Linked DNA regions of Oreochromis niloticus. Each later gene encodes a partner of the first gene's protein in a complex. Links are inferred from orthologs where the notes say so. Each region holds a gene or a part of one and is shown on either strand. Other genes may lie near its edges.

Region 1 (9,991 bases):
ACCACTAGTGGTGCTTGGGTTTTCTCTGGTGGTACACGGGAAATCTCCAATTTTTTAAAAATTAAATGATATACCATTGTGGAGGTATGCAAAGACGACACAAGAGTTCCCGAGGCTCTTCTGGGAGCCAGAGTCAACCAGAAAACGTCTCTCCGAGCACAAGTCCTCAATGAAGAGCAGCCGTTCCTTATCGCCAGCGGTGGCAGCTGCCACAAAGAGCTGGCGGGCTCGTTTCCCTGGGCCTTAAAACTGCAAACGTGGCACGGCGCTGTTCCGCTGATGGTAAAAACACAGCCCTTTTCCGCCGGGAGATGCCGTCGGTGAGTTGTGAATTATCGCCTGGATGCCAAAGCTCCTGATTCCCAGGAAAATGCGATCTGCTTCTTCTGCGAGTGAGAAGTAATCCTTCGTTGACAGCAGCGGGGAGTTGGCAAGGCCAGCTCGCACCGGCAACTGTCGGAGGAAGACGTGAGTGAAGAGGAATCCGCCATCATCTGTACTGTAAGGTTTTGAAAACGGAGCTTTAAAATGAACAGTGGTAATAAAAACCGAGGAAGGCCGACAGTGATCACTGACTGTTTTTAGGGGCTTGTTCAGATTAAACAGAACAAAATATAAAGCATTAAAACATGTTAAAAACACAACAGCCTTAATAAATGCAGAGTAGTTTGGACCCGGAAGCAGGATTCCTCAGGTCAGCATTTAAATATTGTCTATCCCACCTGCTGTGAATGTTTTACTGCAGTACAGTTGTTATTATTAGTGATATGTCGGTCGCGAACGAAACAGCTCTTAGATCCGGATCTTTGTAGTGAATGACGCAAGCCACTTTTTTGCTTCACTCCACACGTGAGCCTTGTGCTTGCGCTGAGCAGAGGGGGGAGGGGCGGTAGTTACACTCGCAGTAGCACAGGAACAGAGCGGGAGGGAGAGAGAGAGAAAGAGAGCCAGGGACAACAACAAGAGACAGCATCATCACATTAGAAAGGTATAGTAATCATCCACAACTATTTTTAGTTGTGGATGATAAAGGATTCAGAAAGTTTATTCATGCAGTGAATCCTATGTATGCAATTCCAAGCAGGAAAACATTCTCCCAAAAAATCATCCCAGGCCCATATGACAGAGAATGTGAATATTGTTTTGATTTTGCATATTTTAATTTATATTTTATTGTGTTGTGGTTTGCAGTGTTTTGTGTTGTTTCAATTTAAATTTCTTTAAAAGGAAAAAGCTGAAAATGTAAATAGTTAAAAGTTGAAATGTACATAGTAGTTTTTTGTATTTTATAATTTATTTATTACATTTAATGTGGAGTGAATAAATAAAAGTATATTTATGGTGGCCCCTAGAGACAAAGCACGTACAAACTCTAAAACACAACAGAAGTGCTCCAGGATGCTAGAGGCAGTGTTGAGCTTTTGTTACCTAGTGGCTACAAGCCAGGAAGTACCAACGACCGGATTTGGTGTGTGGTAGTAACAGGTAAATGAACTTTTTTTTTTTTAATTATTTGAATATATATGAGTGTTTGTGTATAAATACACAAACAACATACATATGCTTTCAATTGTGTAATTTAAGTGATCTAGGTAGCTTTGTACGTGCTTTGGGTCCATTCTCGGTGAATACCTTTAAACACAGCTCATCTCTCAGGAGTAACGTAATTTTACTCACCCTTCCATTCGCTACAATCGCCCTCTTGTCTGTCAGCGCGTCAGACGAACAACTACTCAAGCTCTGCATCCATCGCATTTCCTCCGGCAATCCCTGAAACACACCGAATGTCACGGTACCAGACATACAGTCTGTTACGTCCATCCATCCAGATTTAGTTTCTCTAAATCTCTAAATCCAGTCATGAAGTAACTCCGGCCACCCGCCACGTCAGTGAAAACCAGTGGGGTCGCCCGTCAGCAGAACTCACAGCCCACAGACCGGGCGAGTTAGCCGAAAAGCCGATGGGCGTCAGGCCGAACCCACGCTTCCAAACAAATCGCAGCTCCAACAGCAAAAGCTACAGCATACTTCGTAGCTCCACCCACCCACCAGCGCCAGATAGCAGGGGGAAGCTCAGCTCTGTACTCCTTCCTACTAACACCATTTAATGCAAGCTGAAAATCTGTCGCTAGCTCCATACTCTCTACCGTTCTCCATCGTTGTGATATTTCCATCCTCCTTTCGCTAAATGCTTAAGCAAGTTGGCACTGGGATGCCCGGTTCTTCCCTATCTGCCATTCGCAAACGCAGCAGCAATCTTCCTACCACCGAACTGCCAGTTTCTCAGCGAAGACGACACACACGCACACACACGAAGGCACTGAGCTGGTTCTCCATGCCTCGGAGGCAAAATGCAGTATGCTTCGGCAGCAAGTTGCCAGGTTTCCAACCTCTCATCTGCTAAACTCTGCGGCAAACATCGGCACCGGGTTGCCAGGTTCTCGGCCACTCATCCCTCCTCTGCTAAACTCTGCAGCAAACATGGCACCGGGTTGCCAGGTTCTCTGCCACTCATCCCTCCTCTGCTAAACTCTGCAGCAAACATGACACCGGGTTGCCAGGTTCTCTGCCACTCATCCCTCCTCTGCTAAACTCTGCAGCAAACATGGCACCGGGTTGCCAGGTTCTCTGCCACTCATCCCTCCTCTGCTAAACTCCCTGGCAAACGTCGGCTCCAAGTTGCCAGGTTCCCAGCCTCTCACGCCTCCTCGGCTAAATTCTGCAGCTAACGTCGGCACAGAGTTGCCAGGTTCTCGGCCACTCATCCCTCCTCTGCTAAACTCCGCGGCAAACGTTGGCACCTGGTTGCCAGGTTCTCAGCCACCCATCCCTCGTCGGCACCGAGTTGTCAGGTTCTCGGACACTCATCCCTCCTCTGCTAAACTCTGCAGCAAACGTTGGCACGTGCTTGCCAGGTTCTCAGCCACCCATCCCTCCTTCGCAAAATTCTGCACCAAACCTTGGCACAGAGTTGGCACGCTCCCAGCCTCCCACGCCTCCTCAGCTAAACTGCACCAAACCTCGGCACCGAGTTGCCAGGTTCTCGGCCACTCATCCCTCCTCTGCTAAACTCCGTGGCAAACGTCGGCACAGAGTTGCCAGGTTCTCGGCCACTCAACCCTCCTCTGCTAAACTCCACGGCAAACGTCGGCACCGGGTTGCCAGGTTCTCAGCCTCCCACGCCTCCTCTGCTAAACTTTGCAGCAAACCTCGGCCCTGGGTTGCCAGGTTCTCAGCCACCCATCCATCTGCAAATTTCTGCAGCAAACATCGGCACCGGGTTGCCAGGCGCTCAGCCACTCATTCCCCCTTTGCAAATTCTGCAGCTAACCTCGGCACCCGGTTGCCAGGTTCCTTTCTCCCTCATTTGCAAAAGCAGCAGCAAGCTTTTCCACCATTGGGTTGCCAGTTTCTCACCATAGTTAAGAAGAAAAAAAAGGGGGCACAGAGTTGCCAGTACCCCATCCCTCCATAGCAAATGCAGCAAACATCGGCACCAGGTTGCCAGGCTCTGAGCCACTCATCTCTCCTTCGCAAAATTCTGCAGCAAACCTCGGCACCGAGTTGCCAGGTTTCGCAGCCTCTCATCTCTCCTCGGCTAAACTCTGCAGCATACGTTGGCACTGGGTTGCCAGGTTCTCAGCAACTCATTCCTCTTTTGCAAAATTCTGCAGCAAACCTCGGCATCGAGTTGCCAGGTTCCAGGTTCCCAGCCTCTCATCCCTCCTCGGCTAAACTCTGCAGCAAACATCGGCACCGGGTTGCCAGGTTCCTTTGTCCCTCATTCGCAAAAGCAGCAGCAGCTTTTCTACCGTTGGGTTGGCAGTTCTCTGCATAGACAAAATAAATAAATAAATAAAAAGGCACCGGGTTGCCAGATATACCTTCATCCCCCATTTGCATGCAGCATCTAGCTTCCTTACTACTGAACTGCCAGTTTCTCCGCATCTATCATTGCAAGCAGCGGCAAACCCTTCTAGCACCATGGTGTCAGGTTCTTGCTATATCTGCCATGTGCAAACTGCAGAGACAAGCTTCTTACCCCTGAGTTGCCAGTTCCTGTCCATCCACCATGGCAAAAGCAGCAGAGAATCCTTCTAGCTGGTTCCTTCTATATCCATCATTCATAATCGCAGCAGCAAACTTCTTCCACCACATTGCCAGTTTCTCTGCATCCGTTATTGCAAAGCAGTATTAAACCCCTCTGGCACCTCGATACCAGGTTCTCTTCCTCTATGCCCCCACGCAAATGCAGTAGCAAGCGTCGGCACCAGGATGTCAGCTTCTTTTCCTCTGTTCCTCCTTTACGAATGCAATAGCAAGCTTGGCACCGAGATGCCTGGTTCTTCTTTATCCCTCATTCGCAAACGCAGCAGCACGCTTTCTAATATAGAGTTGCCAGTTTCTCTGCATTTATCACAGCAACGCAGCAGTGAAACCTTCTACCGCTGGGAAGTCAGCTTCTCTGCATCTAGCCCTCACATGCTAAGCAGCAGACACATGCTAAGCAGCAGACGTTCCCTTTGGCGCCAATCCAGTACCTTACGGTACCTTCTGGTACTGGATTGGCAGCTTCTGCCATCAGTCACTTGTGCAAACCCCCCCCCCCAAAACCCCGAGATACCAGTTTCGCTGCCATCTTTCCTGCCTTCGCAAAGCACCGGCGAACCTTCGTGGCACCGGGATGCCAGGTTCTGTCCTCTATCGCTCTTTTTAAGACATCCAAACTGCGCCGTGCGCATAATTCTTCATGGCGTCCCTTCACTTCTCATGTGTTTTCACTAGCATCATCAGGCATCCACCCTCAACACAATCATTCAAGACTGCTCTCTAAGTCGACTCACGGTTCTGACTGCGTCTAAACAGCTTATCTCCCACGAAGTCCAGTGGACTTGCACTCTGCTCTCGGACGATTTTGGGGGTTATTATTATAGAGATTATTTTCCTCTAATCAGTCTTTCAATTCATTAACTCGTCCCAAGCTGCTGCTGTTACTTCTGTTCATTCAGAAATCAGCTCAGTTGTTATCGCTGCCTTTTCTGAAGTAACTAACCAGCTAAGCACCCCTTCTCCATCTTCTACTCAAAGACAAGCTCACACAAGCTTTTCGAGCCGTCAAGCCTTACCTCAAATCTCAAATCCAGCATTCTTCTGTCAGAGCTTCAGCTCAAAGTTGAGCCACGTCGCTACATGATTGAGGGTTCCCCTCGTTCATCTATTAAGATTTCCGTTGTTCACGATTTCCTTTGATCTCTTCTCCTGCCATTCCTTCCTAATTGTCTGAGCTCATCCACTCCACACCATGGAGCGACGTTCGCTCTCCCCGCGCTTGTCTTTGACCCGTTCTCCTTCTCTCTCCCCAACTGGTCGCGGCAGATGGCCCCGCCCCTCCCTGAGCCTGGTTCTGCCGGAGGTGTCTTCCTGTTAAAAGGGAGTTTTTCCTTCCCACTGTCGCCAAAGTGCTTGTTCATAGGGGGTCATATGATTGTTGGGTTTTTCTGTACACATCATTGCAGGGTGATGGTTCTGTTCACGGTTCTGTTCATAATTTTTATGAACAGGATTTCTAGGCGCAGCCAAGTGGCGGAGGGCTTTCACTTCGGTGGCCTCAGAATCTCATCTCTGCTTTTTGCGGATGATGTGGTTCTGTTGGCTTCATCAGGTGAAGGCCTCCAGCTCGCACTGGAGCGGTTCGCAGCCGAGTGTGAAGCAGCGGGAATGAGGATCAGCACCTCCAAATCTGAGGCCATGGTTCTCAGCTGGAAAAGGGTGGAGTGCCCACTCCGGGTCGGGGATGAGTTCCTGCCCCAAGTGGAGGAGTTTAAGTATCTCGGGGTCTTGTTCGCGAGTCATGGGAGAAGGGAGCCGGAGATCGACAGACGGATTGGTGCTGCGGCTGCAGTGATGCGGACGCTGCACCGGTCCGTCGTGGTGAAGAGGGAGCTGAGTGTAAAAGCGAAGCTCTCAATTTACCGGTCGATCTACGTCCCTACCCTCACCTATGGCCACGAGCTGTGGGTAGTGACCGAAAGAACGAGATCGCGGATACAAGCGGCAGAAATGAGCTTCCTCCGAAGGGTGGCTGGCCTCTCCCTTAGAGATAGGGTGAGAAGTTCGGCCATCCGGGAGGGGCTCAGAGTAGAGCCGCTGCTCCTCCACATCGAAAGGAGCCAGTTGAGGTGGTTCGGGCATCTGACAAGGATGCCTCCTGGGCGCCTCCTGGGTGAGGTGTTCCGGGCATGTCCCACCGGGAGGAGGCCCCGGGGCAGACCCAGGACACGCTGGAGAGATTATATCTCTCGGCTGGCCTGGGAACGCCTTGGTATTCCCCGGATAAGCTGGAGGAGGTGGCTGGGGAGAGGGAGGTCTGGGCTTCTCTGCTTAGGCTGCTGCCCCCGCGACCCGGCCTCGGATAAAGCGGATGAAGATGGATGGATGGATGGATCATTGCAGGGTCTTGAGGCGTTCATTACTGTGGCTCAGTGCAGTATAAATAAGTCGAATCGAAATTATTATTTATTACCGCTGACGTCTTCGACCTTCATATCGCACAGTTGTTTCTGCTTCTAGGGGATGCCTTCTTTGGGGATCTGCCAGGCCCGGGAGCCGTCGCCAGTCCCCTTCGAGGCCTTCCCCAAACCGCAGCTCAGTTCATGTCCAAGCATTCACCTTTACCTACCAAAACGCTGTCAAACCTAAATTGAGGACGTGGGCCCAGCTAGTGAAATAAAAGTTAACTGAAATCATACTTAAGTCTCTTTTCATCTGCAGTTCAGAGTGCAGTTAAATGTCTTTTACATTATCTTTTTCCTTCAGCACCAAGAACAGAAAGCTTAATGAGGAATGTCCCCGCAGAGGCCGGAGTCCCAGCAGCTGAAGCCCGAGTCCCGGCAGATGAGAGGCTGTTCATAATTCGCTCACGGTTTATTGAAAGAGTGTCTGAATCTGTTTTAAACAAACTTCTGGATAAACTCCTGCAGCAGCGTGTTATCAATGATCAGGAGATGGAATCAGTCAGATCACAGCAGAGCAGGGCAGATAAAGCACGAGACGTGATCGACATGGTGCGATGAAAAGGAAGTGAAGCCAGCTCACTTCTGATTGCTGCTCTCTGTGAGGAGGATCGATGCCTTTCCAAAGACCTGAAGTTACTGTGAAGGAACACAGACTTCTAAAGAATCTGTGGAGCTGTGACGATGACTCTCAAAGACCACTGATAGCGTCATTATTGTGATCTTCATGTGAGGTGTGTTTTAAAATGGACTTTAGTTCTGAAAGTGTCTCTCATTAAAACCTGGACTCTGAATACCTGCTGAGCAGGAAATTGGATTGATTAAGAAGCAGAGTCTGGGGTCTCAGTAAGTGTCTGGGCTGCTCATTATTAGTGCACAAACCAGGAAATATGTGAAGCTCCATTAATGCTGAACCGCATCTACAGGTTTAAGAGCAACACCTCAGGTTATCAGGGACCAGCGTCTGTTTCCAACAATATAACTGAAGCTGCTTTTACCTTTAATACTGGAATAACGTATTGAATCACATGATCATTATTTATAATCTGTCTACTGAGGTTTAAATTCTCCTCTGTGCTAGCTTCTGCTTTGAGCAGCACGTTGTGCTTCTGCCTGTATAAATAAAGTTTTGCTGCTTGCTTTCTTATGGTGGACTTTGAATTCACGTTTTTAAAGAGTTTGAGCTTCCTGTCCATCTGACTGACTTCATTTTCTCCTCATATCTGAACCATGTCGTCGTGGGTCTGCATGTGTTACAGTGTTAATAGAGACGACACAGACTTATAGTGAGCTGTTTATTGAATAAAGGCTGGTGATCCATGGTGATGTAAATAAAAAACCTATTACTAGAAAACCTCACTGACTGGAAACACAGTAAGTAGTGATGATCCGTTTGAAGCTGAAGCTCCGACGCATGTGTAATGAAAAACCAACACACTGCTTCACTGGTTAGTCTGAACAGAGTCACGTGACCACTCATATCATTCGGTATGTCACTGCTTCAATGACCGATTCACTGGTTTATAAAGAAGTGAATCATGGCAGGATTTGTGCTGTGTTTTGGTGATTTTGTGCGAGAGTTAGTGAACCAGTGTGCAACACAATGAGATACATGAGCCAGTGAGGAAGTGAGAACGCTCTGCCTGTTCCTAAATAAAAAACAGTTCATAAGCAATTCTGCCCCCAGGTCTAAAACATACATAAAAATACATTAAACATATACGTAATAATATATATAAACAAATCTGTCCATGGGATAATTACATAACCATGAGACCGTGCCATATGTTGTTATATAAATTGTATTTTTTATCTATTGACAAACACACGCAAAGGGACAATACAGCATGACACGTTTATTCTTCAAAATAATTTTATTCATCAAATACATGTAACATTATTTTTTCAACCTTCAGCTTCAGTTTCCCTGATATCTCACAGAAGAATCACATATTAAACAGAAGCCTTTAGTCAGCTGAAATAAATGTCCAGGCTCCAACACGAGCCACCAGGCCAGAACCAGCTTCCTCATGCTATGGAAGTTTTAACAATAACCTGCAGTGAGCGTGATTTGAAGTGGTTTAATAAACACATTGCAAAGTGGAGAGAAACATCCCAGCCAAACACTAGGGTGATCTCTGCCAATGGCTGCCGCCCTCACATCTTATATACACACACAGACTACGGCGTTCCACAACCCTTACATGTTGGCCCATGTCATGGGGCGGGGGCTACACCTCACAGAGAGAATTATGACCTTGTTTTCTGCTTAGCATCACCTAAAGATTTACATCCCTGATAAGCAGGAGTCTCACTATCTGTTTAACATCCTCCATGAACTTACAATGGCCCCACTGTGTGTGATAGAGCATAAGACAAATTTGTGAAGCTAACCCAAGTACAAAGTGATACTGCTATTACTAAAGTGATACGGTTAAAATATGTATCCCTAACCTACAGGCGTGCTTCAACGTCTGGTGACACTGGTAAAATTTCTTATTTTGAATAGTGTTTGTTATATATAGGTGAAATGATAATCTTGCATTCATTATCTTGTTGAGTTGAGGGCTGCATTCTATGTAGTGTTTTGTATAAGACCTGTGGAAATCCCTCAATCCCTGGCGGACTGATCCCCAGCTACCAAGACTGGCAGTTGGGACAGTTAGCTTCTACAACTTCCAATTGTTAAGTGATGCTAGATGTCTCAGCACTGCAGGGAAGCAACAAAACCTTCCCCTTTTGATTGTTCCTGTAGTTGGACTCTGCAAAAGTGTGTGTGTGTTACCGCCAGCAGTCATAGTTGGTCTCTCTTCTGCAAAGAACGCTAAATGGCTAAGGTACTACTGAAGTTTCTTTCTGTTCCTCCTGGAGGCTGATGAGGAAACCTGGTTCTGGCCTGGAGGTAATGAGTGTACAGGCAGATTTCTTTTCTGATGTATTCATCACGAAAACAGCAATATACACACACAATCAGGAACAAATGTAATCTGTGAAGAATGACAGTGTTCTGGTTGTGTGAAAGTCCATGTGTCATTTACCTATGACAGCTTGACCCAGTGCAGACCATGAGATACTGATCTGTCCAAGTCGACCATGTCTTAACGGCCTCTCCAGAAGTTTCTTGTTGGTGACAGTGTAGTAATGATGAATTATATTTCTCATCAGAAACACATTTGTGGATGGAATTATATTACTTATAAAGTAATTATTTTTCATCATGCATGCAAAGAACAGTTCAACAACTTGACTATTCAGCCGGCCTTTCAGCTCTGGGACAAGTTGAATTCTGCGTAATATGTCCTTGGAATCTTTTGTATTTCCCTCATGAAATCTGCCATACAGGATGATCCAGTGACAGGGTGAGGATTTTCAGTTACACAGTCCATCCTTTCATGTAGCCATGAAGATTCACTCGTAATCTTCCATCCCGCACAGCCTTGAGATTTTCCTTAGTGGGCTCAGCCAGTCAACCTTCATGT
Region 2 (10,459 bases), on another chromosome or scaffold:
GATGACGCAGAAACAGCCCTGGTGTTTAAGTGCAGTTCAACAAGTTTAAATAAGAAGCTGCAGGATTCACATTTATAGGGAACTGTGATGTCAGCGTGTTTGACACTCTGGAGGAATATTTCCAGGATTCATTTGTGAGTCTTCCGGAAAATCTGAGACTCTGGAGTTGATTTATTTCTCTTTTATTTAGTCAACAGCATTTTTCACTCTGAAACTGTGGGGCTTAGTGGCTTAATGAAAATTGGAACAGGCGTAGCGTCATCTCTGCTGTCACGGCATCACCGCGCTGAAAATTGAAGTGAGATTCTGATTCGATTGCTGTTTGTGCTGTAGACGTTTTCACGATGCGCCGCTAAAATTATATCTCTTTGCCTGAGGCACTAAATCCAGTGATTTGACAGTTAGTCTTTGGTGGTTTGCCTCATTGTCATCCATAGCTTAGTTCAGCCTTAACTAAAGCCATTACATACTGCTAATGAGGATATTTTCTCCTGTTCCCATCTGGGAACACAGGAAGCTGTAACAAGCAAACTGCATTGCCCTTCTTGAGACCAAAAGGAAGTATATTATACTGAATCACTGGGATCCAATTAAAAAAAGGAATGCAGCTGCATCAAAATACTGACCTGCTCTAAAACAGTTTCTCCATATTGAAGCACAACCAACATATCAAGACATTCAGAAGAGAAATTAATTTGCAGACTCTTAAAAAAACATAATAAAATTTTTTAAAAAAACACAGTTTAGAAAGGTCTGCTAAATTTAGAGACTTTTCACAGGAAATGACAGCACTTACATTAACTTTAACTTCTTATTTTCTATTCTCAATCGACTAAACATCTTCATGTCTTTCTCTAGATCCTGTCCTTGGAGAAGCAAGTGTCCCCAGACCAGCCTTCTTCAGTCCAGGTCAACAAGTCCGGCGTGCCACAGGCACCCCCAGCCTCGTCCCTGAGACCATCAGCCTCAGATTTGCCGCTGCCTCCGCCCACGCATTCACATCCTATAGGAGCTTCTACTCTCACCCTCAAGGACAGGGACGGCGAGCCGTACGGAGCCAGCCATCGCTCCAGTACCACCAACCTGACCACCGCCATGTCAAGCTCCCAGAAACACCTGCCGCACAACAAGTCCACAGCCAGCCTGGCATCGGATACCTCCCTGCCTATTGCCACCGTGGAGCTTCAGCAAAGGCTTCATCAGCTGCAGAAGTAAATGGCAGATATGATATATTACTTTTATTATTGTTTATTTTCCAGCTTTTCCAGCTTGGCTCATCTCAGGGTTTCTTATTGTTTTTCGATCAACTTCATTTAAATTCTGCTGTGGCCTCCATCTAAATGTCATCGTGATTTTTGAATATTCATCTTTATAAATATTTTATCAGCCTACCCGTCAAACAATTAATCAGTCCCTGTATGCATGCACTTTGTAAACTCGGCCGCAGCGCCTGGACGTGACACTGACTGACTTTGGTGTGTTTATAGTGGCTCGACCCCCAGCCAGTACCCCCTGGGTGAGATCCAGCTGACTGTTCGACACAGCTCCCAGAGGAATAAACTCATTGTGGTGGTGCACTCCTGCCGGTGAGCTCCAAACTGCTACAATACACTGAATTTACACAAAGTGGTTTGAAGGACTTTTTGTTTTTGGGTTCTTTGTGCCATTAACTTGAGTTTGTGCAGATTCATCCCTTGGTATTCAAATCACTTTCTTTCCTGTGGAGCTGCTAACTGTAAAGATTTAACAAGCAACATGTGCCTGGCAACATGTGAGTGAAAACACATTTGTCCTGTGTGTCCTCAGCAACTTGATAGCCTTCACCAAAGACGGCTCGGACCCCTTCATACGCCTCTATTTGCTGCCTGACAAGAGTCGGACGGGGAGGAGGAAGACAAGCACAATGAAGAGGACTCTTAATCCTGTTTACGATCAGACGTGGGTTTGCATCAGTACTTGTTGAGATGCCTTGCAGATTTGTAACGTAATGTGATTTTTGAGGATCTGCTGTTTTGCTTCACCTGTGTCCGATTGTTACAAGCTCTGAGAACATTTCTGCCTTTAGCTGCAGTTATGCTGCTGTATTAATTTGATAACTGGCTGTGTTTTGAGAGTCCTTCAAAGCTTTCCTTTTATTTCCAGTTTTATTGTTCAGTTATATTTTCAGGGTCCTTTTTGAACTCAGACACGAAGCAAGGGTGCAGTTGCGGAATATTTTATTTTTTCTAGCAATAGAGCTATTTTATTACTGAAGAAAAGAGCTTGCACAGACGATATGACCCTGCTGAGCTGAGATTCGTATCACATTCGGCCGCTGTGGATCCATCACCTCAAGTTTCTGTTTGTTTTGGACACTTTTGTTTGCAGTTGAGCTTCAGTGCTCAGACTAAATCTTTTGGCCTCATGGATGAAACCCGATCGCATCATTCAGCTCCTTCGTGTAGGCTGGAGTTAGCACGTCGGTGCTTTCCTAGTCCCGCTGACTATTGATGCAGTTGTATTGATTATCAGCCATCTTGAGCCTGCAGGGGTTTTCAAAGTTTTGATGACTTAGTGCAAACTTAGAGAGCCAGTATGCCCATGTCAGAAACACTTGATGCTGGTTTGCAGTTTAACTATTAGCGGGGGAGGCTGATGAAATTGTTAACAACAGCTGTGCAGTGGCTAGAACAGAAGACTTGAGGTTAAAGAGAAAGAGATTATGGACTCACACAAACACTTAAGCACCTGCTGGCACTTACTTAAACTCCACTGGCACCATGTTGAAATCACAAATCAGAAATACCAACTTATCTGTCTCTCCACAATGTGGTTAGCAAGCCAAACAAACCACGCAAGGCCTCAAGTTTACACTAGTATATGCTGCTTTGTTGTGAATTCAAAGTCAAATAATTTAATACAGTTTGCAAATTTCTTTGACTTACCTTTTGTTTAAAGGACCAGAACAATCCCCATATTTGTCATAGTCTGGCCACGGAGCCATGACAAAGACCCAGTTTCAACCCATTCAATCGCCTGTTTATCCATCCATCCGTTTTTTGCTGCTCTGTTAGTCAAAGCAGTGATACCCAGGCCTCCCTCTCCAGGGCCACCTTCTCCAGCTCTTCCAGATCTCTCCAGCATGTCCTGGATCTGCCCCATTGCCTCCACCCAGTAGGACAGTACACATCATCCATGATGCATCCCAGTTTGATAGTTGAACTATCTCATCTACCTTCTTTTTGTGTGGATGAGTCGCAGCTTTACTCTACCCCCCTCTCAAATGAGCCAAAGGCTGAGCCAGACACCCTTCGGAGAAAGCTTGTATCTGTGATCTCTTTCTTTCAGTCGTTACCCAAAAGCTTGTGACCATACGTGACTGATTAAGCCCTGTCCACATGTAAAACAATTCATTTGTCACACATCAGTTTGTTTGTTGACAGTTGGTCACTAGTGGACATCCCCGGCTCCAGTTTCCTTGGCATCCCTGTACTGTATTTACCACCTTGTCTTATATCAATCGACAGTATCCTCTCATTGGGGGTTACTTTCATGGCTTGCCCCAAAGTTGAGAAAAGTTTAACTTGGAGCCCGTCCACTTTGCGCCGCCAGCTACAAAGTTGCTAAGTGTCTTTGTTTCTGTTCACCACATCGCTGTTAGTCCCCACTCTCTTTAGTCAGCACTGTCTGAATCTTTAGGCAGCCGTAGAAATTGCATGGTGCTAAGTGGATGGAGAGCAAGGTAGCGCAAAGCCTGAGACAAGCAGCTCTTAAATGCAGACCGGCCGGGTGGTCCCATTTACACTGATTAACTTCACCCACCAGGACCCTGCAAGAAAATGCAGAGGGACAAAAGGGAAAACGTAGAGAAGGCCCAGACAATGACCACACACAATCTGGATTTTATGCTAAACATAAAAAGTGTATGCTTATGTTTGTGTGCGTGTGTGTGTTCGCAGGTTTGAGTTTAGTGTATCTATTGTGGAGCTCCACAGGAGAACTCTGGATGTTGCTGTGAAGAATGGAGGGAGCATCCTGTCCAAACACAAAGGGCTTCTGGGAAAGGTATCTCCTGCAGGTTTTCCCTCTAGTGTAGTTTATTACTTTTCCAGCCTTCACTCCAGGTGCTGATTCTAAACATTTCTTGTTCTTTTTCTTTGTTTTTTGCCTAAAATTGCAGGTTCTGGTGGATTTAAGTGGAGATGACATAGCAAAAGGAATCACACAGTGGTAAACTAGCATTTTATGTTTTTCCTGTGCAACATTGAGTTGATTCTTGGGGGTAAAAAAAATGCTAATTTCTGTCCTTAAATATCTAATTTCATCATTTTCTGTTGCAGGTATGATCTAAGTGAAGATGGTTTGTCGTCTCAAGCCACAAAAAGTATCCAAGACCCCGTCGTCACGTAGTGGCACCACCTCTCTGCTGTAACATAGTTATCTTGTTAACCTAAGGGCACATCCTTCTGTTGTATTCATATATAATTTCCATTTAGTTAACAGGAATAATTTCAGCATGTTTAGTTTTATTTTTGTCAAAATTTCCTGTTAATCTTTCATGAGCCTGATTGGAAGATGTTGTAAAATATTTTAATGTGTTCAAACACACTTACTGCCTTGTCTCTGTTTTCAGTGTTTTAATGTAAATATATATAGTTATAAGAATTTGCAGGGGTTTTCATGGCATTATACTTACCTTGGAGGAGTCGTGTTGAAATCTGTCACGATTCTTATGACTTTGTATCCGGTTTGTTAAAATGTGAAGAATTTTCATTTGTTGTCTGAGAAAACTCTAACCAAAGGAATTGATGCACACAAATGTAGGCTTAAGTAGCAGTCCTGATTTGAGATTTTGATTTTCCTTTGTCACCCAGTGTTGATTGATCGCTTACCTCTCGTTATAAATGCTTGATTACGAACATGGAATGCTGATATGCAAAGAATAAAATGACTGCTGTGCTGTGTATATTTTAGGAGATTTGTGCAATAGTGGTTGATTCTGAATGAGACTTGGGGACATTTTAGGGCTATGAGCAAGCTCTGTGCATTATGCAAAGGATACTTGAATAAGGGTTTGACTGTTTTCAAACCAAATGTAAGTTGAAAAAACTGAGAAACATGAACAGGGACAACAGTTTTCGCATTTTATGAGCAGGGCTGCCAGAGTCTGTGTGAAGATCATGCATCTGTGTCATGCTTGTGTATGTTTTTGCCATGCAGTTATGAGTTTCATGGGAGCTGTTAAATACATTTCTGGTTATCTATCCTGTGCCTTAAAAAAACCCACACAAATATAATTTACTTGCCTTCTTAATGTTATTATTTTGGATGGCTTTTGATGAATACATGTTTTATCTTGTGAAAGTTGGTGTGCATTTTTTATTACCCCATTTTCATGTGCTTCTGTGATGTTCCCCAAATTTTGCAACTTTGTTGTGTTTAAAGTTGTGTTTAAATTTGGAATATGAAAATCAAACGGATGATGTCTTGTATTTTGGTCTCGTTTGAACAACAAGATGTATTTGCTAAGTTTCAGGTTGGCTGAAGTTCAGGAGGTGGAGCAGGTCATATGGGAAGGTTAACAAGGACCAGTGCATTTAATCTAAGCTGATATTTTTTTAGATTAGTAGTAGCAATTTAATACCATAATACAAAGGAGCTGGTAGCAAAACGATGCCAAATGGTACATGAATTCGCAGCATTAATCTTAACGTTTACAATCAACTATATATTTACTTTTGACCTGTCGCTTTCTGCGTACCTAAAAAGCAATTAAGGGAATTTCCTAATTGTTTTTTTTTGTTTGTTTTTTTTTATCTTCAGTTGGCATTGACGTGATTTTTTTCGAGTTGTCCTTTTTCCGATTATTCTGAAATCACTTGAATGCATAGTAAATCTAGCAAAGACTGAATAATAAACACTTTGAATTACGATATATTATGTGAGGTTTGGTGTGCGCCTTGCAAAGAAATTTCTCTTGACTGGGGTCTAATCCACAATATGAATCATCCACAGAAAAAGAAATACGAAAATGTCACTCGTTTACGCTTTTTGAGACACAGAACATCTGTAGTGGTTTGCCGCCATCCAGTGGCAAAAGCAGAGAATTGCAACTGTACGTCAGCGTCGAAACAAACGTGATGACGTGTGGAACCGACTTTATCCAAATTTGCGCGGGTTTACTGTTGTTATGGCTTGCTGTCATTTCACTGTTTCCTATTCACAAAAGCCTTACTAAAAAGGTAACGGACGAAGGAAATGCTGCTTAATTCAAATGCGCATCATTGTGAGCCTTAATACCACCCAACCCGGCGTCTGCAATTAGCACTTTTGACGGTAACGACAAACGGACTGCCATATTTGTTGTTGTGGAGTTGTTACAGCGAGACAAGCTAACGCTACAGCGGCTTCATAGCAGCATTACAGGAAAACTTACGGTTACCTCGGATCGCTTTGGAAGCAGGAATCATGTCCAAGCGAGAGGCATTTTTAGAAGCAACCTGTAAAGAAAATGTGGAGGACTTTCTTCGCTTTATTCAGCTTCACGTAAGTAGCTAACTCAATGCGAGTTAATCCTAAAACACCCAGAAGCGTCTCCTGTTTAGCCTCTTTAACACAGCTGTGAGCTGTAAGTAGTACAGGAAAGTGTTCAAGTCAGGTCCTAAACATGAGATGCAAATAATATGGTTGCTGTGTTCACTATTAAATGCTATTTAAAGTTTAAGATGCGGAGTGTACTCATGGGGGGTTATAAAAAAAGGAGTCCAGTTATTTGAAAATGCTTGTTTCGATCCCAATTTTGACAAACTGTTACTGTCTGTAAAGTAAGCATTTTTCCCTCCTACATGTTTTTTTTTTAATACCCACCAAAGAGGTTTTGGCTTTACACCAAAGGAAAAGTCACCAGGACGACGATAAAAAATCTTTCAGACTATTTTTTAATAGGCTTTGATTTAGTCAAGCATAAAATATATCAGAAATATCAAGAAAGTGCACGCACTCCTGTTCAATAAGCTAAGACAGACTCATCGTGTTAAGTCCTGTTATTATTAGGTACACCTTGCTTTTGCCTTCAGAAATGCTTTAATTATTTGTGGCAGAGATTTAAGAAGATGATGGAAATATTCCTCAGAGATTTTGCTCCATATTGACATGACAGCGATGCACAGTTGCTTTAGATCTGTCAGCAGCACATCCATGATAAGAATCTCTTGTTCTACAACATCTCAAAGTTGTTCTATTGGACTGAGATCTGGTGACTGTTTGGGACATTTGAGTGCAGTGAACTCACTGCCATGTTCAAGAAAGTAGTGGGAGGTGATTTGAGCTTTGTGGCATGGCAAGCAGCCATCAGAAGATGGGGACACTGTTTCCATAATTGGATGGAGATGGTCATCAACACGACTCCAGTAGCTGTGACATTTAAACCATACTCAACTGAAGCTGATGGGTCCAAAGTGTGCCAAGAATATATCCCCCAGGCCATTACATCACCAGCAGCCTGAGCCATCGATGCAAGGCAGGATGGATCCATGCTTTCATGTTGTTTATGCTAAATTCTGACCCTACCATCTGAATGTCACAGCAGAAATCGGGACTCATCAGATCAGGCAACGTTTTTCTGATCTTTTACTGTCCAATTTTGGTGAGCTTGTGCAGATTGTACCCTCAGTTTCTTGTTTTCGGCTGAAAGGACTGGCAGCTGGTGTGGTCTTCTCCTGCTGTAGCCCATCTGCTTATGGTATGACGTGTGGTGCATTCAGAGATGCTCTTCTGCATACCTTGGTTGTAATGAGTGGCTATTTTACTTACCGTTGCCTTCCTATCAACTTAAAGCAGTCTGGCCATTTGCCTGTGACCTCTGATGTCACCAAGGCATTTTCACCCAGAGAAATGCAGCTCACTGTAAAGCCTAGAGATGGCTGTGTGGTAAAATCTCAGCAGATCAGCAGTTCTGAAATACCCAGACCAGCCCGTCTGGCACAGACAACCACGCCAGATTCAAAGTATTTTAAATCACCTTTCTTCCACGTGCTCATGCTCCGTTTCAACTTCAGTGGTTCATGTTGTGTGTCTACATGTCTAAATGCACTGAGTTGCTGTCATGTAATTGGTTGCTTCACAAGCAGCCTGGGAAAAGGTACAGGGAGGAAAACCCCCAAACTGCAGGATACAAAGTTGATGTCATGCAACGTTAGTATATAAATATAATTTAAGCCCAACTTTAAAGCAGAGACGCTCTGCCCTTCCTGAATCCAGCTGAATGCTCTGCAAATGTACTCTTTTATAGCTGTAGGAGGCCTGTACTCTGAAATAAAAGTGCTCAGTTTTACACTGTGAGGTCTTTAAAATGTGATGGAGCCCAATGATTAAAGGGTTTTGAATGTGAGGAGGACAATTTTAAATTCTACCTTTGGTTTAACAGGGAGTCAATGGAGAGAAGCCAAAATGAGAGAAACATGACCTTTCTTTCTACTTCCTGTCAGTACTCACACTGCAGCCCGAGCTGAGGCTTTTCTCAGAGTTATGTCACAGATGGATAGTAAGCAATCACACCACGCAAGTCCACAAGTGTTACAGAGAGGCAAGGCAAAACCACCCAGCATAATTTATTGATAATAAGCCTGTTTAACCCTCATGTATAGTTCATATTTGATGGCTTCGCAGTATAATTTGGGTCAATTTTGACTGGAGCCAGGGATTAAAAAAAGGAAGAAATTTGTCCTAAACTAACTCTGACTCAGCCTGGTGAGAAGTAAATTGTGGATTTTTATGGAGAGATAAAGGATGTGCTGAAAGGTATAAATAAAATGTGCATAATAGCATCCTGATCATCCTGTTCTCTCAAATATCTTGTTTTAATAAACATGGAGGTCACAATTGACATTGGAATTATAGTTTGATTAAACAGACAAAAATCATTTCTTCAGGTATTATATTTTTATTAAATGTACAAAACATGTGGCTGTCCAGTCAAAGCTGTGCCTGTCTGTCTATAAATCTGAGCAGAAGGACAAAGCTGAGCCCTTCGATGTGGAGGAGGTGTTGCAGGAGATGCCCAGAGAGCAGAGAGAGGCCCTGTGGAGGAGACTGGCATCTCTGCTTCGGGACATCCTGCTGGAGTTTCCACCAGAGCGCTGGGAGGGCAGGGGGGAGGAGGAGGACATGCAGGAGGAGCCCACTGCAGACTCTGTGAGTAAAAGGATCAGCTCACTGACCCCATGCTTAGTCTTTGTCAGTGATATTATTCTAATATTAAGAACTAGATGTATGCAAAGCACTCCTATGTTGATGTTTGTAATATCACATTGCTTTTAAGTTTTTTGACGTTTTGCTTAATTGTATTTTTTAACATCTGGTGCATTAACTTTTTTCCCAGAAACACGCTGTGGCTGTTGTGGACGGCGTGACGCTCGTCTCTACAGTGTCTCTGCAGGTTTTACAAGACGATGACCCCTATAGCCCCCTTCTGGAAATTACCCGACGTCTTCACGGTGAGTGTTTATGTTTTTTGCACATTTTTATAGCAAATGAGTTGCATATGATGCTCTTCCCATTCAGATAGATAGATATTTATACCTAACTTATAAATATGTACATTATAGAGCTTTGATTATCCTGTAAGAGTAGAAAACAGCAATTATAAGTACCAATCCATTTACCAGTTATGAAAAAACAACCTGAGAAACCATCATAATTGCTCAGTTTATGAGATGAATCGTGGACGTTTCAGTGAAAATGCTTTTATTCTGCAATGAGGCCAGAAAGTCACATGTTTTACCTTTGCAGTCTAATTGCCATGTGAGGATCCTTGCCTTTTCAGAAAAGCTTAAATAATAATAAGCATCTGTGTGTGTGTGTGTGTGTGTGTGTGTGTGTGTGTCCTTCAGATGTACTGGTGTCGCTTCCTGTCTCAGAGGCACCTCTGCAGAACCACATCCACGCACTGTGTGAGGCCTGGTGGAAGAAAGGGCTGCAGGAGAAAGAACGGTTTGGGCGCACGGCTTTCTTTGTGTCTCTGCAGAAGAGCTTCATTCTCAAGAAACCAGTGAGTGTAACCCCTCAGTCACATGTCAGCTCCTCAGCTCTTTCAGCATGTTTTCACTCTGAAAGAAATGTTTTCCATCAGTAGCCAGTGCGTCTCACAGCAGTCTGCTGATAACTGGTAACCTTTGTGATCTTTTGTCTCTTGTCAGGGAGCTGAGATCCAGAGAGTGTGGAGGCTCCATGACGTGCTTTTGAGTCTTGACTACACATCAGAAGAAAACAAGCAGATAATCGACTTGTTGCTTCAGTGCTTTCACCGCCCTGCTCACATTAGAAACGATGATGTGAGTTATGCTCAGCCGCTGTGTGCTTGTTTTCACGATTCACTCCCTGCTTTATTTATTTATTTTTATCATCGTGGCTTCCCTCTCGAGCTGTCAGTCTGATGATGTGTATATTGTCACAGGGAAAGCGATTCCTGGTGTTTCTTTTC
Region 3 (9,415 bases), on another chromosome or scaffold:
AAACACGCCACACGGTCCCCATGGTTACCTGGTTTCAGCGGTTTGTCCTCCTCAAGCATGGCGTATGGGTCATGGAACGCCCAAACATTCACCTGAAGAAAAAAAACACAAAGATGTTTCATAATGAAGTTCTAGTAAAAAGGTAAAATTTAATGAATCTAGTTAGAAAACAAAATGAGTAACCGGAGCTTTATGAAAACTCATTTTTTCAAAATAAAAGCACTGTTGTGCTTTATGTTTGTGAGATTTTTGACTAGAGGAAAATAAACGCTCCTGTAGCGAACACTGAGCTGCAATCTGGGGGATTAAAGGAGATTAACATACAGCAGGAGGAACTGGCTCCTCTCTCCTCGGTTTGTTGGGTTCCAGCTGTTGCCTCTCTCGGATCATCCGACCATCACTCGGAGCCTGAAACATACCAACGACACTGAAGTTACACAAGAAAAAGAAGATGAAAAGGTGGTGGCTGAAACTGTTCTGTGATTCTAACAGATGAAATCTCCTCCACCTGCAATCTGTCCACATGCTCCTCCTCCTGCTCCATGTTGTCCAACTCTAAGGGGAGGAAATCGTCTGCTGCATCTCCTCCACCCTCCTCAGCATCAGCTCTGCCCATTTCAGCATCCACTGGAACCACAGCATCTGAGGCAGTCAAAAATCAGAAACCAAAGTAGTGAAAGTCAAGAAGAAAAAAAAAAAAGGAAGAAAAGCAGGAGGAAATGTGTCATGAAGGACTGAACAGGTGAGGTGAGGTGTACCTGGGGGCTGGGTCTCTAGTTGAGCGGAGTCACTGTGAGCCAGGGAAGTGGAAGCAACTGATCTGAATGTGAGCAGGATCATGTCGCCCTCACCTGGGACAAACAGGTTGATCCTGAAGTCCTTCTGACTGCACAGGATCTCACCTTTCACACTGACACACAGGCACAGCACCAGGTGAGACCTCATCATGGGGGAGCGGGGATTAGCTCTCATTTAGTTGCTGTGCGAGATCACTGACCTGATGAGAGGCAGTTTCTTCTTCTCGTGGGTTTCAGGTGCAATCAGAGACTCAGGAGGAAGAGGCGACACGTCCACAGTCTGCATAGGTCAGAGGTCACAGGCAGAGGTCAGAGGCCAGAACGAGCTGCAGGTAAACTGACCTCAGAGAATCAAACTCACCGTGTTGGAATCAGATTTCTCAGATCGGTCCGACCCTTCCAGGTCCAACACAGAAAACTGAAGGACACAAATGATGTTACTCATTTACACCTGAGCACAACTGACTTCGACAGGATAAAGAGTTACAAAAAAGGAGGAAAAATAAAAAGGCAAAAATGACACAATATATATTTAAAAAGAATTTCTGTGAAAATTTGAGGTCAATGTTTATTTTATATTTTATGATTAAAGGTTGAAACTGAAAAATCTAGATCATTAATAATAAATAATTAAAATAAAATAATTAATGATCACGATAAAGAATATTTTACATTTAAGGTTCTAATTTTTTGAATATGATATGGCCAGTGACTGAATGAAGTGACTATGTAACCCCGAACGCCCTGTGAGCATTGTTAGAGAATGGCTGTAACAGTAAAACCTTGACTCTGTGCCTGCTTTCATTCTCCCCTGCTAACTCACGTTACCTGAGGGGTACCTCAGGGCTTGCTCCAGGTCCCCTGTAACTTGCTGTTTATATTCTTGAACACAGATGCCACATTTTCACCCAAACAGCTTCACACTCAGTGACCTCAGACGCTTCAGTTCCAGCTGACCCTGACTTCCTGTCTGCTCCAGGACCGGATTGTTTCTACAGCTCGGCTCACTCTGCAGTCTCTGAGGGTTAAAGAAGACCTTGGCTCTGGAGCAAGCAGGCTAATGACACCAGGCTCACAGAGTCAGGTGCTTCCTTTAAATCACCTCTGAAAACATGTTTCATAGACTTTCTTTGAAGTCTATAAAAAAATGTCAGCTATCAGTTTTGAATTAGTTTTTTTGAACAGAAACATTTTATACTTCTTTTCCTTGGTGCGGTTTATTTTTGAGTCTAACATCCAGATCTCAAAGCACTTTATCGCCAGTGTGTTTAAATGAATGAAGCCTTTACCAGCCTCATGAAAGCTGAAAATCGAATCAGGGACGAAATGTGACTCTGGAAGTTTTCTCTCAGGTAAAGAACCATCTTTAATAAAAGCTGCCTGGTCTTTTTTTTACCTCCTCCAAGTTGTCAGCATCATGACTGCTCGCTGCTCTGCCATCACCCTCCTGAGACTCTGTTGCCTGCTTGTTGCGTCTGTCGGGAGAGCACAAAGATAACGCGTGAACCTACAGCAGAAAATCAAACCAGCATGTGGGCGGAGTCATGCCTACTTCTTGTTCTTGTCGTTGATGTACTCCAGAGTCTGGAACACCAGGCTGTGCAACAGCTCCACCTGAAACAGACGCAGATGCCGTCACATGACTCCATCACAGCCTGGGCGGGGTCATGTGACTTGTGTTTGGCTCACCTTCTTGCTGTAAATGCAGGCGGAACCCTGGATGAGCAGCGCAGCCTCTGCGAAGTTCAGCCGGGTTTTCCCACCATCAAAGGTGATGCACATGTCATCCAGCTGCAGACACACAGACAGATGTTACTCAGCTTCACTCCTTCAGGCTGTGACTGACTGAAATCCCACCTGGATACTCGTTTGTGTCTCTGTGGATCACCTGAAGCTGCTGGACCCAGAGCAATTTGCCTGAAAAGTGGTTGTTACCTTCCAATTACAGCTCTGTCTTCTTCTGTCTGCATTAGAAGTACTGCAGAGCTTACTGCTAAAACTGACACCCTCTCTCTGCTGCTTTTACTCTTTACAAAGAACCCAGGTAGCCAGACTGAACCTGTAGGTGAGCCTGTTTTGGGGTATGGACCACATATTTGATGCAGACAGATATTGCTGTCTCGTGTCAGTTTGTAAGGAGGACGAAAGCTATCAAAGTAAGAGCCTCTGTGGTAAAAATAAATCTGAATACCGGATTCAGGTTACCTCATCTAAGTAGTCGTTTAGCTCTGACGCCAGGTCGATCTCCCAGTTCTTGGTGAGCTCTCGGATCGGCTGGAGCAGGTGAGCGTATCGGCTCTCTGTGGACTCCATCTCACCTGAAACAGGTAGAACCAGAACAGGCTGTGAATCCTGCGGGGTCTCAAACATCACTCCGTCTTTAAGCAGCTCGTTTCTCTGCAATGCTCTGAGTTGCAGATGGAACACTCTCTCATTTTAAACTCAAGCAAAGATGACTTTCATTCAGCCCAAATTTGATATAATAGTAAATTCATAAAAGCCTGTAATGTTGATCCGAGCGCAGAGCTACAGCTGGACTGTACATATCGATTTAAGTATCGATTATCAGTTTTCATGGTGAACTCTTTGCATTCATCTGTCCTCAAAATCAAACAAAACTGCGTTATCGCAGCTGTGAATTCTATTAAACAGCGTGATAATTGCTACGAGCGAAAGCGGCAAAAACTGACATAAAAAAAGAACGAAATCAAACCAAAGTACGTTCAAAAATGTGATTATTTTAATCGCTGTAGTTAAACCTGTGATTAAAAGATAAACTTAACAAATTAACTTATTCTTAATCTAACGCCGAATATACCGGGACATCCCACTGTTTAGTAAACCGTGTTAACTAATCCTCTGTGAGGTCGATTTTTACATCAATCCGAATGAAACTCAGATATGTCAGAATTATCAACGCAGTGTGGCGGAGCGTCTAAGCGACTGCAGCTGTCAGCGCTTGAACACTTGGCTCATTTAACTGCTCAGTTTGGTCATTTTTTATAAGAGAAATACCTGAAAATAAGCAGGTGTCGCTAACATGAAGCAGCGACGGTGTTTAAGGAGTAAAATCAGAGAGAAACTTACCGAAAACCCTGAGCTCAGCCACACCGGGGCTAACTGTTTGTAGCCGTTAGCACAACACTCAAAGTACCCGCGTTAAATTTCTTCTTCGCTGCTCTTGTCTGTGTAGCAGCTCCGCGTGCTGCCCCCTGGCGGTGCCTTGGTGTGATGCAGGCTGCCGGCCGCTAGATGGCAGCGTTGCAGTTTAAAGAAACTGGGCGCGCTGCTGCCTGCACCTTGGGATCCGTTTATAACAAATACAAATAATTTGACATGCGCAAAACAGCGCAAGAGCAAAGCCAAGTCAAATAATGAGAATTTGGACTCCATATTTCATATTTATATCTGCAGATATCAGGCTAAAACCATATTCATTCATTGGAATTATTTTGTAATATCACAGTATTTAAAGCCCCTGTTTCATTTTTGTTTATACATGATAACAAGCTAAATAAAACCCTGTGCTACACTACTAGTGTAGGGTTAAAGGTTATAGAATCCTAAAGCAACAAAGCAACAACAAAAAACAAAATAAATAATCAATTAAGTAATAAGTAAAAAAAATAATCACAAGCTGTTTGGATAATCTTTTAGAAAAAATAAAACCATGAAGTGAGAAGTCGTAATACTGACGTGAATGTGTGTACTCTTCCTCATCTCACTCTTCTAGTGCTCAATGCGAACACCATGAACAAGTCTGCAGCTTGAGAACGCCCCCTGTGGAGTAGGAAGTGCACTGAGGGAGGTCTCTGCTCTCCTCTGAGCCTGAAACTCCTGCTCCAGACCACACTCGCAATCCACCAACAGGTGAGGAGGGCAGGAAGAGTATCGAGTATCTGGCTAACTTTCAGAATAAAAGCCCTCGTGCAGACAATCAAAGCCATGTGAAGGACACATAAAAATATGATCATCTTGGTTCGACCTGATAGAGTTTAAATGTTGACTACCTGGGCATGAAACAAAACAAGCAGTGAGCGGAGCCATGCAGCCGTGTGCCGTGACATCATCGGAAGCACACCGTGGTCTGAACTCTGACCATCACAAATCATATCTGCAGATGGAAACATGATGAGATTTCCTCTGCACACAGATCTGATTTCAGGTCGTCCTCAGAGTGTGTGTGTGTGTGTGTGTGTGTGTGTGTGACTCTTCCTCCACACATGAAACCAGTTATTCTTTGTGATTTAATAAAACTTTATTTACAAAAACAGCAGGTGATGTCATTAAGAAGCAATGATGATGATGATGATGATGCTGGGTCTCAGGAAGCCTCCTCTTCCTCCTGCAGCAGCATTAGTGAGTATTATTAGTCTGAGAGGACAGCTGTAATTAATGCCTCTGAGAGGAGGATGACGGGGCAGCAGAACCTAAATTTAACACTCCTAATTTAAACAGCCGGATTTCTAATCCAGGAGACGACGCCCTCCTCCTCCTCCTTGTCTTTCCTCCTCAGAGGTGTACATGCTGCTTGGGAGTCCCACTGTTTTACTTTCCCAACAGAGACAAGACGACAAAGGACGCAAACGTCGTCACGGCTCAGGAGGAACACTTGTGGAAAACATCTGGCCACATGTGATTATGAAGAATACTCCTCTGATAAACTCAGAGAAAACAATGCACGCAGAGGTTTCCCAGCAACACCCCATCCCCATCGCACTGCGCTCCTCTTCATCGTTTATCTCTTCCACTGGAGCGCCAACAGATTACTGAAATGCCAGCAGCTGCACGCCATTCTTAGCCCAACACAAAATGTCTCAGAAAAGCTACAGACTAACAGGTAGCGCTGCTGTGGCGCACAGCCATCCTTTACATACAGTCTTTGGCTAATAACACAGAGCGTCTGTCAGAGGAAGGTGTGACTCTGCAGCAGAACATCCTGGACTCAGCTGCAGGTGAAGCTGAGCCATGTGTCACAGTCATATTTGCCTGCTGCGCTCCATCACACCCGTAGCAACAGTGAGCACAGAGACTCCGCCCCCACAAACACCTCCGTGTGCACATCACCTGATAACTCATGGTGTCAGCACACAAGTAAATCTAATCAGCATTATAATAATAATCATTAAGAGTTCACAGCACGTTAACCTGAACAGCTGCAGTTCCTCTAACTTCCACCAGAGGCTCCCACCCTGCATTGTTATGGGCGTGGCCTCTGTGACTGACAGGTGGATGGTGACACAGGCTGCTGGTAATTCACCAGAAACTCAAGGGTTACATCATGTCCATCTTAAATATACAGTCTGGTATCTAGAACACGTTCCACAGCAGGAGGAGGAGTCTGCACCTCTGACCTCCAAACACCTGCCATGGATGTCAGAGACAGCGGAGCGAGTGGTATGAGGTAATGAGGAGGTGTGAATCTCAGCGAGTGAGTGGAGTGAAGATCAGCACGCTCCTCCTCCTCAGAGGTTACACCAACGGTATGCCCGCTGTACTCTGATTACTGCTGGAACAGTTCTGTGAATGGACTCTGTTAAAACAAAATTTTCAGTTAAGAAGTCTGTGCAGGGTGAGAGCACACACACCCGTGGCATGCCATTGGACGTCAGTCCTGTTAATTTAATTCCCATTGGAAAAGAGCATGGATGGGATCAGTGGTGTAACTGAGCACTTTTACTCAAGTGTAATGTACTTGTACATCACTGAAGTATTTTCTGTGTTTTGGGTTTAAATGTTGACCTTTGACTCCAAAGTTTCAGTCTCTTCTTCTTCTTTTTGTGTTTTGTTGGAATACGAACAGCACAGGGAGGATAACAAGGAAGAGGTGAACTCAGTCACAGCCAAAAACCAGGACAGGAAGAAGACATAAAAACACCACAAATCACTCGAGGAGCTACCCTTCAAAATAAGACAGGAAGTAAATGAGGGAAACGGGAAACACTTGTGTGAAGACTTGGTCCTTACACTGGAAGTGTGAAGCACAAGCGTACAGATGGTGAAGTTTCTAGAGAGTATTATCACGGTCCAATCGGATAATCTGCACCTCTGCCCCTCCGTGGTGGCCCCCCCCGTGTATTATTGTGTGTGTGTTTCACATCTTCCTCACTGCAGTCACATACATCAGCTGCCTTGAATGGCTCAAACTGACCGCGTGCAGATGAATATGAGAATGCTGAGGTCACGACTCTCCCGTCAGGCATGCTGATTGGCTGGAAAAACCCATCAGGGTTAAACCCGCTCCCCTTTTTCACCCCAATTTCCAGGTCTCAGCGAGCAGCCGTGAGATTGGATGACAGCACGGGTCACTGGTCCCCTCCCTCCCTTTTAGCTCCCACAATCCACTGGGAGCAGCGCTGATGGTTTATGAAACCACCACAAGCTCCTCAAACCGACAGTGAGCCTCTCAGGCGTTAGAACCCTCTGTTTTTGACGCCTGTCAGGATTGGGTAAAGGTGTGACTCTATTGGCCGAGACGTGCTGTTGTTGCTGCTGACCTCACGGCGTACATTCTCAGAAACACAGGTGCAGCAGGAGTTGTGCAGGTACCTCTCAATCCAGCCCCAGAGTACTAAAAGTAAAAATGAACCACCTCCACCAACACGGAGAAGGAGTCTCACATCAGTTTACCTGCAGGAAACTCGTTAGTAGCAATTCAACTTTCAAAATAAGAGCATGAGGTTTCTCAAGGGATGTTGTGTTGCTCAGGTGGATGAAAGTAAACCCGGGCAGCCCTCAGAGAGAAGTCTGTGAGTTTCAGACTTTGCTGCAACTCTAAGCCGTGATGGGATCTCAGATCACAGAGCACAAAATGGTTCAAAGCTATATCAGTGACTCTCATATGATGCATTTATTCACAGGTGAGCAGTAATATTTTAATTCATTGTACTTTAATGTACAATATATTAAAAGACAAACAGGCTCCTGTGGTGCTGCTGGGAGTGTGACAGCCTGATCCAGGTCCAGACCCTCAGGATCCAGAAATGTGTTTAACCTTGTTGGAGGGGAGCAGCAGCTGTTTCACTTGTTTCTGACTCAACTCCATGTATTTTTATGGTGTTGGTCGTGTTGCTTGTCTCTCTGCTCATTTAGTATCTTGTGGTTACTCAGTAAAAGCTAAATTTTAGGCTCCATGATGAGTACCATCATCAGTGTCAGAGTCCTCTCAGTGATGCCTAAATCTGCCTAATGTCCAGCACCTCTTTCAGGAACATCTAAAGCTCTCAGACTCTTTCTCTGTTTCATTAATCACAGATTAGATCCAGTGGAGCAGAACAGGGACTCTGCCAGGTCCTGGTCCTGTACTGTAGTCTGGTTTTATGGTTATCCGGTCAAACATTTCCTTAAACAGCATTCATTCACTAATTAAAGAAGAAGGGCGGTGTGGCTAATTCTTCATCATCAAACTGACACTGAAAGCTCTTATTATTCATATAGACATTCAAAAACAGCACAGTCCACTCTTTGCATTGAAATGACCTCAAACAGAAAAACACTGATTTATTAGATTCAGATGTGGCTCAGAGGGTCACAAGGTCCTCTCCAAACACATAAACGGGAATGTATGTGTGTATATGTGTGTGTGTGTGGAACAGCAAAGCTTGATGGGTATTACCTGTAATCCTGTAATACCTCAGCTTAACACAGAGAGAGCAGAGAGAGCAGATCCTCACACTCTACTCACTTCCAGGAGAACACCTGAAACCAGAAAGCACACCAGCAACCACAAATCCACCAGACTGGGAGAACCTCGGGTGGTGGTCCAGCTGCTGTGAGACATCAGCAGCGCTGTTTACTCGTGGAAAATGGGCGTGCTGTAGTGAACACGGTCTGATCTGTTTAATCAGCAGATGATTCGGAATGAAACAAAGACACATGCAGGTGACGCCTTCATCACAGTGATCTGATGCTCTGATTGGATCTTTGTGGACTCTGATAAAGATCAGATGGCTCTCTGGCTATTAGCCTCACCAATGTCTTCAGGTTTCAGGCTCCCGGAGTACGTTTCCTGGAGTACCTCACCTTTCTTCTGTGCTCTAACATCAGCAGATCTCCAGGTTTCTTCCTCAGGTGGAGTTACTGTTAGTAAGCAGATTAAAGTCCGTCAGGCTGAATATGCGGTGGGTTTATAAAATATGATGTTTTGTTCTGGTTCTGACCTTTTTCTCCCTGCTTCTGTCTCTGAGAGGAAGATGGATGTACTGATGGAGTCACAGCTGACTTCTATCGGAGGAAGACTAGGGTGCAGAGGAGGATGACGAAGAGGTGAGGCAGACGATGATGGAGAGAGAAAACGTCCGACTTCACTGCCGAGTCTGTCTGCGAGGTGAAGGATGGAGGGGTGGGTGAAGGGATCATTCCCTCGCCAACGAGCCTCAGCAAGGCTGGAAAAATGAGCGCTGTCCCGGGAAACTCCTCCGCCGAGCTTGGATCGGCCGCCCCCGGCTCGTTACTCAGATCGGCTGTTCAGCCGGACCGAATGAAAAATAGTCCCAGAAGATTCCAGATGACTGAGAGTGTCAGCAGAGAACAGGACAAAGTTTGATTGGTTTGATTTAAACTTCTGTTAAAAAAGAAACTTTTTGTTATTGAGAGACTTTGATCTGGACTTTTTTGGT

What was found.
Region 2: the proteins of ncapd3 (region 1) and ncapg2 are in contact, whole or in part, in a cryo-EM structure (PDB 9F5W), measured with the Homo sapiens proteins. The link is inferred for Oreochromis niloticus from reciprocal best matches to the Homo sapiens genes NCAPD3 and NCAPG2. Residues at the interface, in NP_056076.1 of Homo sapiens: Glu1213, Lys1216, Ile1217, Pro1218, Leu1220, Gln1247, Ser1250, Glu1251, Tyr1254, Lys1258; in NP_001268861.1 of Homo sapiens: Phe291, Lys332, Pro333, Ile334, Trp336, Lys340, Ala341, Arg342, Arg347.
Region 3: the proteins of ncapd3 (region 1) and ncaph2 are in contact, whole or in part, in a cryo-EM structure (PDB 9F5W), measured with the Homo sapiens proteins. The link is inferred for Oreochromis niloticus from reciprocal best matches to the Homo sapiens genes NCAPD3 and NCAPH2. Residues at the interface, in NP_056076.1 of Homo sapiens: Arg589, Pro591, Met629, Glu680, Arg683, Tyr684, His690, Lys724, Glu793, Asp800, Gln803, Arg804, Arg807, Gln817, Leu820, Gln865, Leu866, Cys867, Pro868, Ala869, Arg870, Val871, Val918, Ile925, Lys929, Leu932, Gln933, His934, Ala956, Asn960; in NP_689512.2 of Homo sapiens: Trp22, Ser68, Lys69, Glu72, Tyr75, Tyr79, Leu82, Asp83, Ser86, Ile144, Ile145, Pro146, Leu147, Leu148, Met150, Ala151, Leu152, Val153, Asp156, Glu159, Asn161, Asn162, Asn163, Pro164, Leu165, Tyr166, Ser167, Arg168, Gly170, Leu173.

The regions. Positions count from the first base shown.
Region 1 is NC_031978.2:31,867,606-31,877,596, forward strand, and holds the start of ncapd3 (condensin-2 complex subunit D3), read right to left. Parts: upstream 4,129-9,991; coding exon 4,043-4,128; intron 500-4,042; coding exon 340-499; intron 244-339; coding exon 75-243; intron 1-74.
Region 2 is NC_031974.2:16,400,014-16,410,472, forward strand, and holds the start of ncapg2 (condensin-2 complex subunit G2), read left to right. Parts: upstream 1-6,105; 5' UTR 6,106-6,447; coding exon 6,448-6,525; intron 6,526-8,988; coding exon 8,989-9,171; intron 9,172-9,358; coding exon 9,359-9,473; intron 9,474-9,869; coding exon 9,870-10,027; intron 10,028-10,175; coding exon 10,176-10,310; intron 10,311-10,432; coding exon 10,433-10,459. Other genes in the region: esyt2b (extended synaptotagmin-2), read left to right, coding at 859-1,211, 1,488-1,586, 1,807-1,938, 3,939-4,044, 4,160-4,209, 4,320-4,389. UniProt on the Homo sapiens protein: Regulatory subunit of the condensin-2 complex, a complex which establishes mitotic chromosome architecture and is involved in physical rigidity of the chromatid axis.
Region 3 is NC_031981.2:22,672,467-22,681,881, reverse strand, and holds the start of ncaph2 (condensin-2 complex subunit H2), read right to left. Parts: upstream 4,040-9,415; 5' UTR 3,885-4,039; intron 3,116-3,884; 5' UTR 3,111-3,115; coding exon 3,003-3,110; intron 2,589-3,002; coding exon 2,487-2,588; intron 2,412-2,486; coding exon 2,350-2,411; intron 2,273-2,349; coding exon 2,194-2,272; intron 1,216-2,193; coding exon 1,159-1,215; intron 1,078-1,158; coding exon 998-1,077; intron 911-997; coding exon 759-910; intron 643-758; coding exon 509-642; intron 409-508; coding exon 325-408; intron 93-324; coding exon 29-92; intron 1-28. UniProt on the Homo sapiens protein: Regulatory subunit of the condensin-2 complex, a complex that seems to provide chromosomes with an additional level of organization and rigidity and in establishing mitotic chromosome architecture.